Linked DNA regions of Canis lupus familiaris. The protein of the gene in region 3 interacts with the protein of the main gene of each other region in a pairwise test. Links are inferred from orthologs where the notes say so. Each region holds a gene or a part of one and is shown on either strand. Other genes may lie near its edges.

Region 1 (3,566 bases), on a different chromosome or scaffold from region 3:
ATTTATAGTAACATGATTTCACTACATCTCTGTCATTTACTTTAAAAGAAAAGCAGAATTTTATACTCTACTCTTTTGATATTAAATTCTGGGTATGTCAGAAACGGAAGGCAAATAAACTTACCTTCAGAGAATCAACTAAATCATCAACTAAAAAGAGGCGTCTCAATTCCTTTATCGTGCAGTTCACATGACCAAGAGCAGAATTACTGTATTTCTGAACCAACTCCTCAGATATAGCGACTTCAGATTCCAAATATGCCCTGAAAAACAAAACACGTCCTAACTGTCACTGATCAGAGTATTTGTCCTGGATGTCCAGCAGTAATGTAATTGTAAAAGAAGACATTAGTTAAAATATTTTACCATAAAACCTGGATTCCAAATTAAGCACAATGTGAAAATTCACCAATCGATGCATATTTCATGGACATGCACACGGGCAGCTGATGAGCACAGAAAAAGATCATTTCCTTTCAAGTCAGACTGCTCTGGACTTGATTCTTATACTCTGCCACTTACTTGTCTATGTAACTTTGCAGTTATTAATTATCATGAGGATTCAGTGAGTACAGTGCTTAATGCAAGCAGGCATAAAGAAGCATTCAATAAATGGTAGCTGTTATGAGGGATTTGGGTTTTTTCTCTTTAAGCCGACATTATGCGGTCTCCTTGGGTTTTCCTAACAAAGATCCTATTCATTCCCAAATACTACAGTCTCTCAGCATAACTTTTAGAGGAAACTGCCCAATAGGTCAAGGTCCAGATTGTGAAATGGCTACCACAAGTATGGTGTTAATGCTAGTAAAACATAATAGTTACTGTCCACGTAGATACCCCATTCTATACTAAGATACCTGGAATCGTTCTATTTAGGAAGACAAACTGTAATGAAGAAGAAGAATCTTCGGCAGGAATGCAAGGAACTGTTTTATTAGTTATTATTTCAAAGAAGTCATTTTATCTTGGTAGAGTAGTACCAATTCAGAAATGCTAAGCATTGTCTTCTATCGTTGGAAGCAGCTCCTTATAACCCAGTCTCTCTTCATCACTCCCCGATGCTGGTGGACACTAGTTACTCATCCTGGAAAGAACAGTCATCTGATAATTCCCTGTCCCATGGTTTACTCCTATAATATGTCCCAAATATGTCTCTTCATTTTTACTCACTATGTTATCTCTCTAGTTTAAGTGTTCATTATTTAAAAACTGGAATATTCTGTATCCAAATGAATCACTCATCTGTTTACATACTAATCCATTCCTTTAGTCAATGCCAGGTGAGTTTTATTTTAGCTCTCTTAGGTAGTGCTACTTAGACTGAACTCAGGTAGGAGTTAGAAGACCTGCTACTATCTAGCCATGTAACCTTGCAAAGTCATTTGACTTCTCAGGGTCATGGTTCCCACTCTATAAAATTAGAGAAACAGACCTTCTTAAATATCCAGGCTCAAACCTTCTGTGATTCTATGATTCCAACTTTTCAACCAGAACCCTCTTCAATCTTTTCAACCTAATTTTTTACTACTCACTATGTTGCAGCCAAATATGAGCCATTAATTATTTTTTAATCCTACTACCTTTGTTCATCATACTGTTTTCCTAATCCACAATGCTCTCCTCTTACCTCTAGTAATAGCATATCCAGTCAGTTAGTCCATCTCAAATCCCACCCATCTATGAGGCCTCTTTGGCTCTTTCCCTAAGATCTTATTATGCAATTCTAACAATGCTTTCTTTTGTGGTATTATTATAGCATTAGCCATATCCAGCCCTGACATACAGACATGTGTACACTTGTATATTTTTCCTACTAAAGTATAAACTGTTTAAGACCAAGAAAATATATTTACAATGATGGCATAGCACTCAGACAACTTATTGATTACCAGCAGGTATCCAGTTGTTATTATCAAGTTAAAAATGATCGAATATTCATATCTACCCTTAAATCAGCAATAATTTATTTGTGCAGCTTTGAGAGACACAGAACAGAAGCTGATATAACTTTGAGTTCGTATTCTGCTTCTTTGTACCACAGTTTTTGTTCTTGCAGAAGACAAGATGCCTGGCCAGCAGGCACAGAGTGGCACTCTCCATCAGTGAAATCCCATGGATATTTACATTCATTCAACTAGCATGTATGTAATATTAATGCAATGCCAGCACTGACATCACTCTTTTCCAGAGACCAAAGGTATTAGATATAGACAGGATGGTACCACCTTTAGAAATGTGACTGGGAGAACTTGGAAAAACTGTCCAACAGGATTAGTCTGGCATGTTGGCTGAATTTATAATGACTCTAAAAAAATCCTCTGAAGAATAAAGTGTTTCTAAAAAAATAGGGAATAAGACAGCCACCAGATTTTTCCCAAAAGTCTTCTTTAAAATCAAACGATGTCTCAGATTGATATTGCAGATAATTTAGAAGTTTTGGCTTGACAATATTTTTATATTATTTCAATATATCTAATTAAAAATCATATTCCTGTATGATTTTTGGCATGATATGGCTACCATTTTGAAGCTGCAATTTCAAGTTACTGAACTTCAAATGTTTCCCTCTCTGTGGAAAAGAAGAATACCATCTGTCTCATTAAGTTGTTATGAAAATTAAGTCTGTGCATAAAAGGCCAGGGACATATGAGCCACTCATAAATGTTGGTCTCTCTCCCAAACTTTTTTTTCTCTCCCAAACTTTTATAGCATCGTTACTTCATCAATATGAAGAGAGCTAAATAACCAATCTTTACAATAAGCAAAATAATATAGATTGCAAAGTTTGAAAATTGGTTTACATTTACCCCTTAATATCAACTATATATGTTCTAGGTAGTTATATACTCATTCATGCCCACAGATACCTGCCTTACCAAAATAGTTTTAAAATATTCAAAATCTATTTGAGAAAAAAAATGATGTCTAAATACAAAACAATTAGAGATCATTTCAAAGCCAATAGGAAACGAATTCTCAGCTCATTGGAGCCAGTATTAGGGAAGCCTTCAAAAAGTTACATCTTGAAATCAAACACAGAACCCAATAAAAAGTAAAATAGTTTGGGCAGCCCTGGTGGCGCAGCAGTTTAGCGCCGCCTGCAGCCCGGGGAGTGATCCTGGAGACCCGGGATCGAGTCCCACATTGGGCTTCCTGCATGGAGCCTGCTTCTCCCTCTACCTGTGTCTCTGCCTCTCTCTCGCTCTCTCTGAATGAATAAATAAATCTTAAAAAAAAAAAAAATGTATAATAGTTTAGGTCATCTGAGAAGCTAAAAAGGCAGCATGAATGGGCATAACATCCTAGAAGAGGCAAATGAGAGACAAGATAAAGATATTTGGACTTGATCCTGTAGTGAACAGAAAGCCCGTTTGCCTAAAAATATAAAAGTATCCGAAGAAAATCTGACAACAGCTATAAAAGCTGAAACCTAGGTAACCAGAACCCAATTTGGTAACAAGTGAAGCCCACCCAGAGTAGACAAACTTCTTCTGTAAAGGCCTAGGAAAGAGCACTTAGGCTTTGAAGTCCACATGGTTTCTGGCACAATTGCTGCTATTATAGCA
Region 2 (2,613 bases), on a different chromosome or scaffold from region 3:
TCCCTCACACTGTCCCTCACACTAATCCCACTGGGGTTAGGGTCAACGTGGGAGCGTTGGGGGAACACATGCAGTCCGAGGCAGCTACCAAGGAGATCACTTTTCCTCTGTGCTGCATTCAAGGCAACTCGTGAGGCTGTGCCGGGGCTCCCCACTGTCAGGTGCACTGGAGACCCAAGCATCCAGCTGCAGCTGCCCCCCGTTTCTCCTGGAAGAACAAACCATTTCGTTACAGTTTCAAATGTGCTTGTGTACAGCCAGGCCCAAGGGGACCTGTCTCTTACCTGTCTGTCCTCTCTCACCTGGACTAGGTCAACAGCCGTGCCCCAGCCCCCAAACACAACCAAACCCAGCTCCGACACCAGAGTCCTCGCTTCTCTTGTTCTGACCACTTCTCCTGAGCGTCACCCCCCGAGCCTGCCCCTCCCAGGGACATAAGCATCTGCGCTGCTGCTGCTTCAGCCAAGCCTCTCGGAAATACCGGACACCACACTCAGGAGTGCTTTCATTTTCCTTTATTTTTTTTAAAAAAGCCCCTAAACTCTATGGCTTCCAGGAAGCGTCAGAGAAACCGAAGTGCCATTTCTGTACACCGTGTAAAGCAAGACCTAGACACACACACCGCTGCCAGGCCGTCCCCAGCTGCTCCACCCCGAGTGGCAGCACAGGCCCTCCGGAGGGCCCGAGAGGACCGCACTCCCACCAGGGCTGCCCAGCCCCGGACACACCTGCGGGGCTGGGACAGGGCTTTAAGGCGCTTGTCTCCTGCTGCTCAGCCGGCAGCGTGGAGCACGGACACGACAAGCCCACGAACACCCGGGCACAGACCATGGCTCGAGTGGCCAAGAGGTGGCCGCCCCCGGGGCCCCGGGCCCTGGACACGGCTCCACGAGCAGGTGTGGCAGGAAACCCTGCGGGCTATGCCCGCTGGCCCAGGCTTTGGTGCAGCATTTTGGTTGGGGGGCCGCCCCCACCCCCGCCTTCCCCTGTGGTGCGGGGAGGCCCAGGGCAGGCTCGCCCCCGGCAGCAACGCCCATAGCGTCCCCTCGAGAAAACGGCCTTTGGATCGAGGGAGACAAGCTGGACTTTATGAGACTAACGGGACGGGCTGGCCGGCACGGGCAGCCCACTACTCACTTCAGCAGGCGGGCGGGAGGGGCGCAGGGCAGGGTGGCCACTGTGTTTCTCTTCTCCTTGTTTCAAATAGTTAATGCTCTTGGAGGGGAGGACTAGACACAGGTGTAGAAATTTCGGCCAAAGTCTCATGTGAAGGACGTGACCCCAAGTGGGGGGCGGGCGGCTGAGGCCGGCCCTGCAGTCTGCGTCCTGGCTGTAGGCCACGCGGCAGGGGCCAGGCTCGCCCCGGGGGCTGCGGCAGAAGGGTTCAGGGCGCCACCGCCCCAGGGTCACTTGTGGCGCTGCACTGCTTTTCTCTTCCTCCTCTTGAAGAAACAGCAGCATCTGCACGGGGGGAGTGAGGGGACAGACATGAGAGCGCTGGGTGCAGAGGGGGCCCGAAGGGTCCCCGCGCCCAGCAGCCGCCCGGGCCCTTACTTGGTGTCATCGGCCACCTCCACCTCTGCGGGCGCTGTGATGGGGGCGTTGGAGTGGCCGGCAGTGGGGTCGTCCGCATTCAGCTCCCCGTTGGTGGAGTTCAGCGCCTGGGTTTGTGGGGAGGGCAGCAGGGGAGTCAGAGGGGCCCTGCCCCACCCCCCACACTGTCGGGGTCCTTGGACCGGCCCCTCACCTGGTTTTTGCTGTGTAGCTGGGCTTTGTCCCGAGGCTGAGGCTGCGAGGGCAGGTCGGTGTGGACCGTGCCGATGGGTGTCGGCTGCGGGAGGGGGGGCAGGACGCAGCGCTGAGGCCGGGCAGCCTACTCCCACCCCCCGCATCCTGGGGCCCCACCCCTTCAGGAAGCAGGGCTCTGGGGGCACGGGGACCCCCACGTACCAGGGGCTTTCCCGCCCAGTCGTACTCATAGTCGAACACGAAGCCGCTGCGGTCAAAGAGGTCGGTAAAGAGCTTGCGCAGGTAGTCGTAGTCCGGCTTCTCGAAGAAGTCCAGGCGCCGCACGTAGCGTAGGTACGTAGCCATCTCCTCTGTGGGGAGCAGGCGGGCGTGCAGGGGTCAGTGGGGCCCGGGGGTGGTGGGGGCCGGGCGGGGCGGGGGGGCCGCGGGGGCAGGGGGCGCCCCTCACGCCTCACCTGGGAAGCTCTCGCAGAGCACCTCAATGGGCGTGGCCCGCTTGGTGTCCCCGATCTTCTGGTAGCGCTCCTTGAGCGTGTCGGCCTGTGGGGAGGGTGGTCAGCAGACCGCGACCCGAGGGCTCTCCCCCCGCCCCCCCGGCCCTGCGCCCACCTTGAGCCCCTGCCAGGGCAGGCTGCCACGCAGGAAGTACATGAACATGTGGCCCAGCGCCTCCAGGTCGTCGCGGCGGCTCTGCTCTGCGGGGGGAGAGCAGGTCAGCGCGGCCCCCGCGCCCCCCCGCCCGGCCCGCGCGCGGCTCACCCTTGCCCAGGTGCGTGTTGATGCTCATGTAGCGCGCCGTGCCCGTCAGGCTCTTGTGCTCCCGGTACGGGATGTGCTTCTTGGTCTCGGGGTCGATGTACTCCT
Region 3 (4,020 bases):
GAAGGCAGATTTTTGCCTTTCTCATAACATTCCCTCTATTCCCTCTATCTAACAGAGATAAAGCAATATGCTAAACACAGAAGCAGAATCAAAGATTTCTGTTCCCAATAGTCCAGCAAGCATAATTTCAAAAGGAAAACAATACATTTAGAGTAAGATTCAGAACAAGTTACGAATAAAATACTATGGGAACTTAAAGGAAGGCACTATGGAATGATTGGCAAAATAAGAAAAGGCTTCACAGTAAGAATAGTGTTTTAAACAAGCTTTAAAGATGGGGGCACCTGGGTGGCTCAGTTTGTTAAGCAGCTGCCTTAGGCTCAGGTCATGATTCCAGGATCCTGGGATGGAACATCATGTCAGGCTCCCTGCTCAGTGGGGAGTTTGCTTCTCCCTCTCCCTCTGCCACTCCCCCTGCTCATGCGGTCTCTCTCGCTCTCTCAAATAAATATATAATACCTTAAAAAAAAAAAAAAAGAACTCTAAAGACAGAATTTCAGCTAACAGGTGTGCAGAGAAATACAAGATAAGGTAAACCTTGAAGGATGGAGAGAATCCACAAGAAACTTGTTGAGATTTATTTTATCCAGATTTAGTTGTTCTCAAGTCCCACCAAGGCATGACTCTCTTCCCATCAATATCCATCCTGATATTTGTTATCAATCACCTAGAATTATTGTCTATCCAGAATTTGTGGAACTTCCATGCTTAAGAAGTGATTCCACAGAAAATATGCTTCATAGGTATTTCCATGTATTTTAAATTACCATATAGGAAAAAACAACTTTCCTTTTTTTGGACCGGTATATTTCTAGTAAGTTTATCACCTCCCCCCATTCCAAATTCAGTCCGTTTTGGACGGGCAGAAACAAAACACATTAGTACTGAGACTTATCTACATTACTCAATTGAAGAAAAAGAACAGAGGCTGAGTTTTAACTCTTGTATAAATTACCAGGTGAATACAAACAGATCAAAATATATATGTACTTTAAATTTTAAAACATGGATTCAATATAAAATATTCTTGATTAAAAAGCTTCCAGAAATCATTATGTATAACAATGCACTGTTATATTTCAGGGGAATTTCCTTCATTGCTGTTAACAAAATACCAAAAACTATTCCTGTTAATTCTATGTATGCAGCAACATAAAAGTTATTCAACCATCATAGAATCGATCAAAAAGTACATTTCTTGACATTTAAATATCAAGGAGATGATTTTCCATACTTTGTCATAGAACATTGTCTCTACTATACTGCTCTGCAAACCATGAATACTCAGGGCACTGAGGACTCTTTCCACTAGTCACTCCTCAACCCTCCAAAATAGTAATATCAAGTAGGTCAAAAGGTCAGCCTATTTTGTAAAATACTCAGCACCACCAGAATACTAATTTGTATGTTTACTTCTCATTTAATGAGAAAAGTGATCAGTCTATCAGAATTAAGAAGAACACACTTGAAATTCCACCTGAAAACGTATACCTACGACACAAAGTGTTCAACACAGACTCCAAAACTACAAGACACATTTAATCTAAAGGAACCCGAGGGAGCTTCGACCTTCGCTTTACGGAAAGCCTTTCACTGAAATTCCAATGATCCCAGTATCAACACACATCATGATTCTTCTGTGTAAATAAACGTTAACACTCGCAGGTCTTGGTTGTGGCACTTATGTTTTACCTAACGCCTTTCTCACCAGCCTTGAATAGATAACAGGAAAACCTAATATGAAACAACTCCACAATAAAGATCCAAATGCTTAGCCAAAGTACATGTACTGGAAGCAGGGTGGTTTCTTAATAGCCAGTGGCTGCACATGATCTCGAATCTTATGACCAGCTTGCTGAAGGACTGGCCATTTCTAAAATTTTAACAGAAAGGAACAAGGAAGTAAAAAAGGAGAATGTGGAATCCTCTCTTAGCTAAAACTCTAAACGAACAAACAAGCCCCAAACCATGTACTATCAAAAGAAATAAATCACCCATCTTCTCTTAAAAAAGGGCCTCATCCATTTTAACTAATTAGCCTTCACAGCCAGTCCTACAACTATGTGCTTTGCTAAAATTTTGAAAAAGGGTGTTTTCTTTAAACCTTCAGGAAAGGTAAGAAGGGTTTTCCTCACTCTGGCCCTATGACAGCAAGAATATTTTATTATTAACAGCGCTCTTCTTCCTGGACTAAAGGTCAGCCTCTGCTCCGATCTGTTCCTGTTACCGTGTGTTTCTTGCACCCGTCACGTGACAAGCCAACAGCTCTCTTTTGAACTGGGGGAAAGACTGCGGAGAGCAGCACCGAAGTGTCCCTGAGACCCCTCCCCACCGCCGGCGGGCAAGCTCCCACAGCTCTGCCGCCCAGCCCGGTTCCCGCGCCCGACGGACGTGCCGAGTCCAGCTCCTGAGCCGAAGCCTCCCTAGCGCTCGCCGCCGCCACCGAGCCCCTCCTCCGCGCACCCGCACCCCCGCACCCCGGGGCAGCCCGGCCCCACCCCACCCCACGCCCTCGGCGCGGCGCCGCGCCTCGCCTCGCCTCGCCTCGCCTCGCGGCAGGTGAGGGCTGAGCCGCTGGCCCCCGGTCCTCACGGGCGGCTCACCTTGCTGAGGACTCCGCAGCGCTCCACGGGCGGCCCGGACTCCGTCTCCGGATCCTCCTCCGAGCCCGACGAGTTCCAGCTCTGGTTATCCGACATGGAGGCGCGACAGCCGAGCGGGAGACCAGCCCCCGCTCCCCGAGCCGCGCCGGAGGAAGCGCCCAGGAGCCGGGGTGAGGGCCCGGGGGGCGGGGAAGGGAGGAGTGCCCGCTCCGGCGCGGGGGGGGGCCGCAGGGGGCACGAAGTCCGGCCGCCGCGCCGCCGCCGCCGCGCCTGACACCGAGCGGACCGGGGAAGGAGGACGAGCGGCGAGGGAAGCCTGCCCTTCCAGCCGTCGGCCGCCGCCGTGGCCCCTGCGCTGCGCCCGGCGCCACCACCCGAACGCAGCCCCTTCGGTGCCGGCCTCCAACAGAAAAGGAACAGGAAAGACGGGAAGAGAAAGCCCAGCCAGAGCCCCGCTCCACTCACACCTCCGCTGCGGCCGCCATCTTCCTGCCTGGCCCACTATTTACCCACCCCTCCCCTGTCCCCTCCCCTCCGTCCTCCCCTGCTCCCCCGCCCCGTCCCCGTCCCCCTCCCCCGCCCCCTCCGACGTCTGACGGAGCACGCCGAGGGCCGGCGGTCCCCTCCCGCACCCTACCTCGGGTCCCCCCCGGGTACGCAGGGCGGAGAGGCGGGCGGAGCGGCGGGCGGAGCGGACAAGGGAGGAGGGACGGGGCCCCCGCCCCGCTGCATTCTGGGAAGGGCGCTGCTGCGTCGGGCGCGCGGCCTTCTGGGAGTTGTAGTCGCGATCCTGAGGCCACCGGTGAGTGTTGGCGCCCCGAAGGCTGTCGCCTGGGGGACCGGTCCAGTGGCGGGTGGGCTTCGTCTACCGGTTGTGTGATCCTTCCCCGCGGCCGCGCTTCTTGTCTCTTCCTGGCGTGTTTATGACGAAGCTGCGCCGGCTGGGGGGGGACCCGGGCTCGCCCTCCGCGGCCGCCTGCTAAGGCCCGGGAACGCCGCGCGGCTTCCGGGGGTGCGGGCGGGCTCCGCCGCGCCGGGCGGATCTGCGACCTCGCTGGTGACCCGGCCGCCCCCCGCCGAAGGTCTCCTATCTCGCGCCTCACACTCGGTGCGTGCCGCGCTTCACCGGGGCAAGCGCTTTGCATTTGTTAGATTCCGAGCGTTCATTTTGTGGAGAGTAATTTTGAAGATATCAGAGAATAAACGACGTTTGAAGAGTTTTTAAAGTAAAGTGAGAATGTGAAATGGTAGTCTGGGGTTTGCTTCACGTTGTGGGCCAAAACGCCCCCGAAGCCCGGTCGCCAACTCCACCGGACGTCGTCGCTCTGAGGGCGGCCGGGCCGCGGGGCGAGCCTGAGGTGCCGAGCGACCCGAGAAGAGATGAGGCGATGGGTGCAAGGCCCAGTAGTCGGTGCGT
Region 4 (4,314 bases), on a different chromosome or scaffold from region 3:
CCCAAGGGCCTCCTAAGGTCGTGAGCTGCCTTAGACGTGGAAACTGCAGGAGAGGCAGAGGCTGTCTTGGCGATGCACGTCAGGCGTTGGCTACCAGACCCAGACCTTTTTATGTCATATACATCAAGCAGCACTGCAGTGGGCTGTAATTCATTTCATTCCCGGGACACTGTGACTTACTAGCCACTATCAAAATCCCTATGGGCCCAGGCGTTCTGATTGCCCATCCATCCTTGCTGCCTTGCAGGAGACGTGCCCACCTTGCCCTTGGCAGTGACGTGCTGCCCCTTGGTCTCTGCAACTCCGGCCTGCCCTTATGCCCACTGCAATCAGGGAGCCCATCTCAGTGGAGGCAGCCTCTCAAGTCATGTCCCGCCTGCAAAAGAGAGATGCCATGGAGCGTTTCATGGATGCTCCCCTCACTCATCTCCATGCTGCCGTCTTCTGCTGCTTTTTATGGAACATAGTGGGCAGGGGGGTGGGGGGGTGCAGATCGCACATAATACGTCCAGCCCAGCAATCCTGTCTCCCCACACCTTTGGACTCCCTCTTCCCCATCATGACGTCATGGCTTCATTAACCTTAGGCCACTATTGGGTCCAAATGTCAGTTAATCAACCAAGTAAGCTGTTAGAGCCATCGCCAGCGGCACATGCTAATAACCAAATCCAAAATCTCCAGGAAGTGCATCCGTGACAATTAATTCTACCCAACACAGTGTTATTATCCTGCCCTCTTTGGTCTAAAATCCTTAAAATCCACTCCTACACGGGGCCCCCAGAATTCTGTTGACCTGTATTAGCGAAGCCCTGCAGTGCTTTGGATTCTTCCTCTCGTGTCCTAGTGTGTCACTGCCACCATGCGGAGATTTGGCCCTTGTCAGAGGTTAGTGACAATAGAGGCAGTTTTGGTTAAGTCTCGAGGAGAATGAGCAACCCCTCTCAAGATACCTGCCCCCGCTGAGGTCATCACAGGGTTTTTACACAGAGGGGAAACAGCTTCCTCAGACATGGGTGGAAAGGCCACCACCTCCAATAAGGGGGGGGGAGGTTGGCTTGGAGCCACGTGGGGTTTATGATGGTCAGTTTCACCGGGGGCCAACAGATGTCCCCGTTCTGTGTTTCAGGGTCCCTTTCTTTCCCAACCAATGCCCTAATTTTCACACGAGAGTTCTGTCAAGATGTGAATTCCATTGTGGTTGTAATTCAGCAACCAACACAATTAAATTTTATGTTTGATTTCCAGAAAATACCAGCCCTGCAGCTGTAAAAATAATAATAATAATAAGACCTGTAAAGGCTGTCATGACAGCTCTCTAGTCCTGGGACTGTGACTATGAGCTGAGCCAACGGACCTGCACTTGTCATCTCCTCTCTGCAAGCTCTAGAGCCCTCAAAAGGATCCATCTCACCCCTGCAGTCCTTATGGTCATCACCACTGCCATTAGCAGCCAAGGGAAGCATCACTCTGGCTCCCAAGGGACGTGCCTTGATGGCACTCCAGCTCAATCACCTGGGGGTGATAGCCTGGTTAATTACAGGGCCACTGCATACCTTGGGGGACGCGCACCCTGCCTCCCATCGGCAAGTCACTCAGCACCGTGTTCCAGCCCACGGAAAACCAGTCCACAAATCTCATCTCTGCAGACCAATCTCCTGGTACCACTGCTGACACCAATTCTACACTAGTTTGGGTCTAATCAAGAAAAAGGAACCACACAGTAATTCCAACAGGGAAAGTTCCACATGAAAAATTAGCTTCTAACAGGGGATTAAATGAATGTGGCCTTGGCTAATAAAGAATAAAGAGAACTGTAATTAATGTAAGAATAGCAGCTAAGGGAGCGGCTACAACCCACAGAGCTGAGGTAGAGCCCCCTGAGGAAGAGACCCCACCCAGGGCTGGGGTAGAGCCCCTAAGAATGCCACCCTTCACTCCAGGAACAGCTCCTGGGGGCTTTGGTAAGACCCTCAAAGATGAGTGAGGGTCCCCCCGCCCCAACAGAGGTGAAATATCAAGAAAGAGTCCCCTAGGGCTGAGGTAAAGACCCCAAGAAAAATCCCCCCTATTCAGGGGCCAAGAGAGACCCCCCCGCAAAGAAGAGTCTCTCAGGAAGAGACCCTCCCCCACATCAGGCTGAGATAGAGTCCTCAAGAAGGATTCCCCTACCCTGGGCTGAAATTGAGCATAAAACCACCCAAAAAGAGGTTTTATGGGGGGTGAGATAGACCCCCGTCAAAGAGGAGCTCCCCCCCCCAGAGCTGAGGAAGAGCCCCCCTCACCCAGGACTGATATAGAGCCTCAAAGAAGAGAGCCCTAGGGCCGATAGAGACCTCCACACACAAAAAGAGACCCCCCCCCCACCATGAGACTGAGCTACCTCCCCCTCAAGGAGAAACTCCCACCGGGGCTGACACAGGCCCCCACTAGAGTCCCCTCCTCAGGCTGAAGAAAACTTCGCAAGGAAAAGCCCGTGAGCTGAGGAAGGGTCCCCCAAAGTACACACACTCCCTCCAGGACGGCCATCCAGACGTTGCTGAACAAGACCTGGCTGCGGCCCACCACATGGCAAGCATTTGGCCTCGTGCCACACCTGCGGAACTTGCTAGAAACCCACCCTGAGGCACTTACCAGAGATCTGCCCGTGCACCGGGGGGAAGGCGATACCACAAAAGCCGCCTCTGGTGAGACACCTCACGACAGAACCGCCTCCAGAGCGGTGCCAGGGGAGCTGCGGGCCCCGGGGAGCTGCAGGAGCCTGGGAGCAGCCCAGCCAGGAAGCAGGGCCCTGAGCTGCCGCATGGGCTCCGGGGCGCCCTCTACTGACCCAGCCCAGCAGGCTGGCGGGGGGAGGAAGCTTAAAGGGCCCAGATCCATTTCCATGCAGCGGGCAGGAAGGGTGGTCTGGAGCCTGATGGTGATCGAGGAGAAGCAGCATCCAAAGAAATACTGCTCAGCAATGAAAAAGAAGGAACCACTGATACGTGGACTCATCTTCTAGATGATTAGGTCGAATGAAAGAAGCCGGACTCAAAACCAGCACATTCTGTAAATTCCCGCTTATGTGAAGTTCAGAACAGGCCAGCTGGTTTTTAATGACAGAAATTTTAAAACAAAGTGGTGAGGGAGGTGTTTCCGTGGAAAGGGGCACTTTCTGGGGTGAGGGACATATCTTCCATCGTGAGTGGGCCAGTGGTAACACAGGTGTAGACATTTGTCTTAATATTTAAGGTTTGGGGATGCCCGGGGGACTCAGTGGTTGAGCGTCTGCCTTCGGCTCAGGGCATGATCCCAGGGTCCTGGGATCGAGTCCTGCATCAGGCCCCCCCACAGGGAGCCTGCTTCTCCCTCTGCCTGTGTCTCTGCCTCTCTCTGTGTCTCTCATGAACAAATAAATAAATAATTTTTTAAAAATATTTAAGCTCTGTGCATCTCATGGCAGATCAATTAGAACTCAATTCTTAAAAATTAGCCCCCAAAGTTTCGGTTTCAGGTCATCACTGTGTACAATCTCCGCATAGTAGATACACAAGTACGCTTGAGTAAATAAATACAGGAGCGAATCACGCACTCTGCTTTCCTCGTGTCAAACAACTTGACGGTACCCCCAATTCACTAAGCTCAGTGGTCCCTCCGCCCACCATTTGTACTCTCACTTTGGGTGGTTCCAGTTCCCCATGGTCAGGTCCGGTCTGGAAGCAGGTGACCTTCCTTCTGACATACTGTCGGGTCACTAGGAGCCTAGCACTACACCGCGGTATCGCTGTCCTGCCCCTCGCCTCCTCTCAGGCATTTTCTCAGCTCACATCACCAAAGAGGAAGGGTGAGTTCATGGAGCACCTGGCTGGCTCAGTGGTGGAGCATCTGCCTTCGGCTCAGGATGCAACCCCGGGGTCACAGGATCGAGTCTCGCTTCAGGCTCCCCACAGGGAGCCTGCTTCTCCCTCTGCCGGTGTCTCTGCCTCTCTGTGTGTCTCTCATGAATAAATAAATAAAATCCTTAAAAAAAAAAAACAGAAGAAGAAGAAGGGTGAGTTCAGCACAACTGGGTATTTTGAGAGGAAGAGAAAGACCACTCTTAACCACTTTGTCTCTGGAGTCGGACGGTGCTCGGTCCAAATCCCGACTCGGCCACTTGAGGACCGTGGGTCTCCAGCGAGACAGCGCATCACCCTGAGCCTTGCTCCACTCATCTCTAAAACAGGGAGAACCATGGTTGCCCCTTGTTGCCGGGAGACACAGTGAGTTTACCCACAGAGAAAGTGTCGCCCCATGTCCATCCCGGAGGGAGCGCTCGCCATGAGTAAAGGACGG

The links.
Region 1: the proteins of CERT1 (region 3) and RTN4 interact in binary tests that used the Homo sapiens proteins (3 or more experiments, as listed by UniProt). The link is inferred for Canis lupus familiaris from reciprocal best matches to the Homo sapiens genes CERT1 and RTN4.
Region 2: the proteins of CERT1 (region 3) and CSNK1G2 interact in binary tests that used the Homo sapiens proteins (3 or more experiments, as listed by UniProt). The two-hybrid records come from large-scale screens. The link is inferred for Canis lupus familiaris from reciprocal best matches to the Homo sapiens genes CERT1 and CSNK1G2.
Region 4: the proteins of CERT1 (region 3) and ACTL8 interact in binary tests that used the Homo sapiens proteins (3 or more experiments, as listed by UniProt). The two-hybrid records come from large-scale screens. The link is inferred for Canis lupus familiaris from reciprocal best matches to the Homo sapiens genes CERT1 and ACTL8.

What each region holds. Positions count from the first base shown.
Region 1 is NC_049231.1:57,169,144-57,172,709, forward strand, and holds part of RTN4 (reticulon-4), read right to left. Parts: intron 264-3,566; coding exon 125-263; intron 1-124. UniProt on the Homo sapiens protein: Required to induce the formation and stabilization of endoplasmic reticulum (ER) tubules. They regulate membrane morphogenesis in the ER by promoting tubular ER production.
Region 2 is NC_049241.1:57,484,656-57,487,268, forward strand, and holds the end of CSNK1G2 (casein kinase I), read right to left. Parts: coding exon 2,509-2,613; intron 2,445-2,508; coding exon 2,359-2,444; intron 2,290-2,358; coding exon 2,205-2,289; intron 2,100-2,204; coding exon 1,951-2,099; intron 1,832-1,950; coding exon 1,748-1,831; intron 1,662-1,747; coding exon 1,555-1,661; intron 1,462-1,554; coding exon 1,407-1,461; 3' UTR 501-1,406; downstream 1-500. UniProt on the Homo sapiens protein: Serine/threonine-protein kinase. Casein kinases are operationally defined by their preferential utilization of acidic proteins such as caseins as substrates. It can phosphorylate a large number of proteins. Participates in Wnt signaling.
Region 3 is NC_049224.1:31,067,464-31,071,483, reverse strand, and holds the start of CERT1 (ceramide transfer protein), read right to left. Parts: upstream 2,818-4,020; 5' UTR 2,700-2,817; coding exon 2,604-2,699; exon of another isoform or gene 2,540-2,603; intron 1-2,539. UniProt on the Homo sapiens protein: Shelters ceramides and diacylglycerol lipids inside its START domain and mediates the intracellular trafficking of ceramides and diacylglycerol lipids in a non-vesicular manner.
Region 4 is NC_049223.1:80,106,338-80,110,651, forward strand, and holds the start of ACTL8 (actin-like protein 8), read right to left. Parts: upstream 2,808-4,314; 5' UTR 2,632-2,807; intron 1-2,631.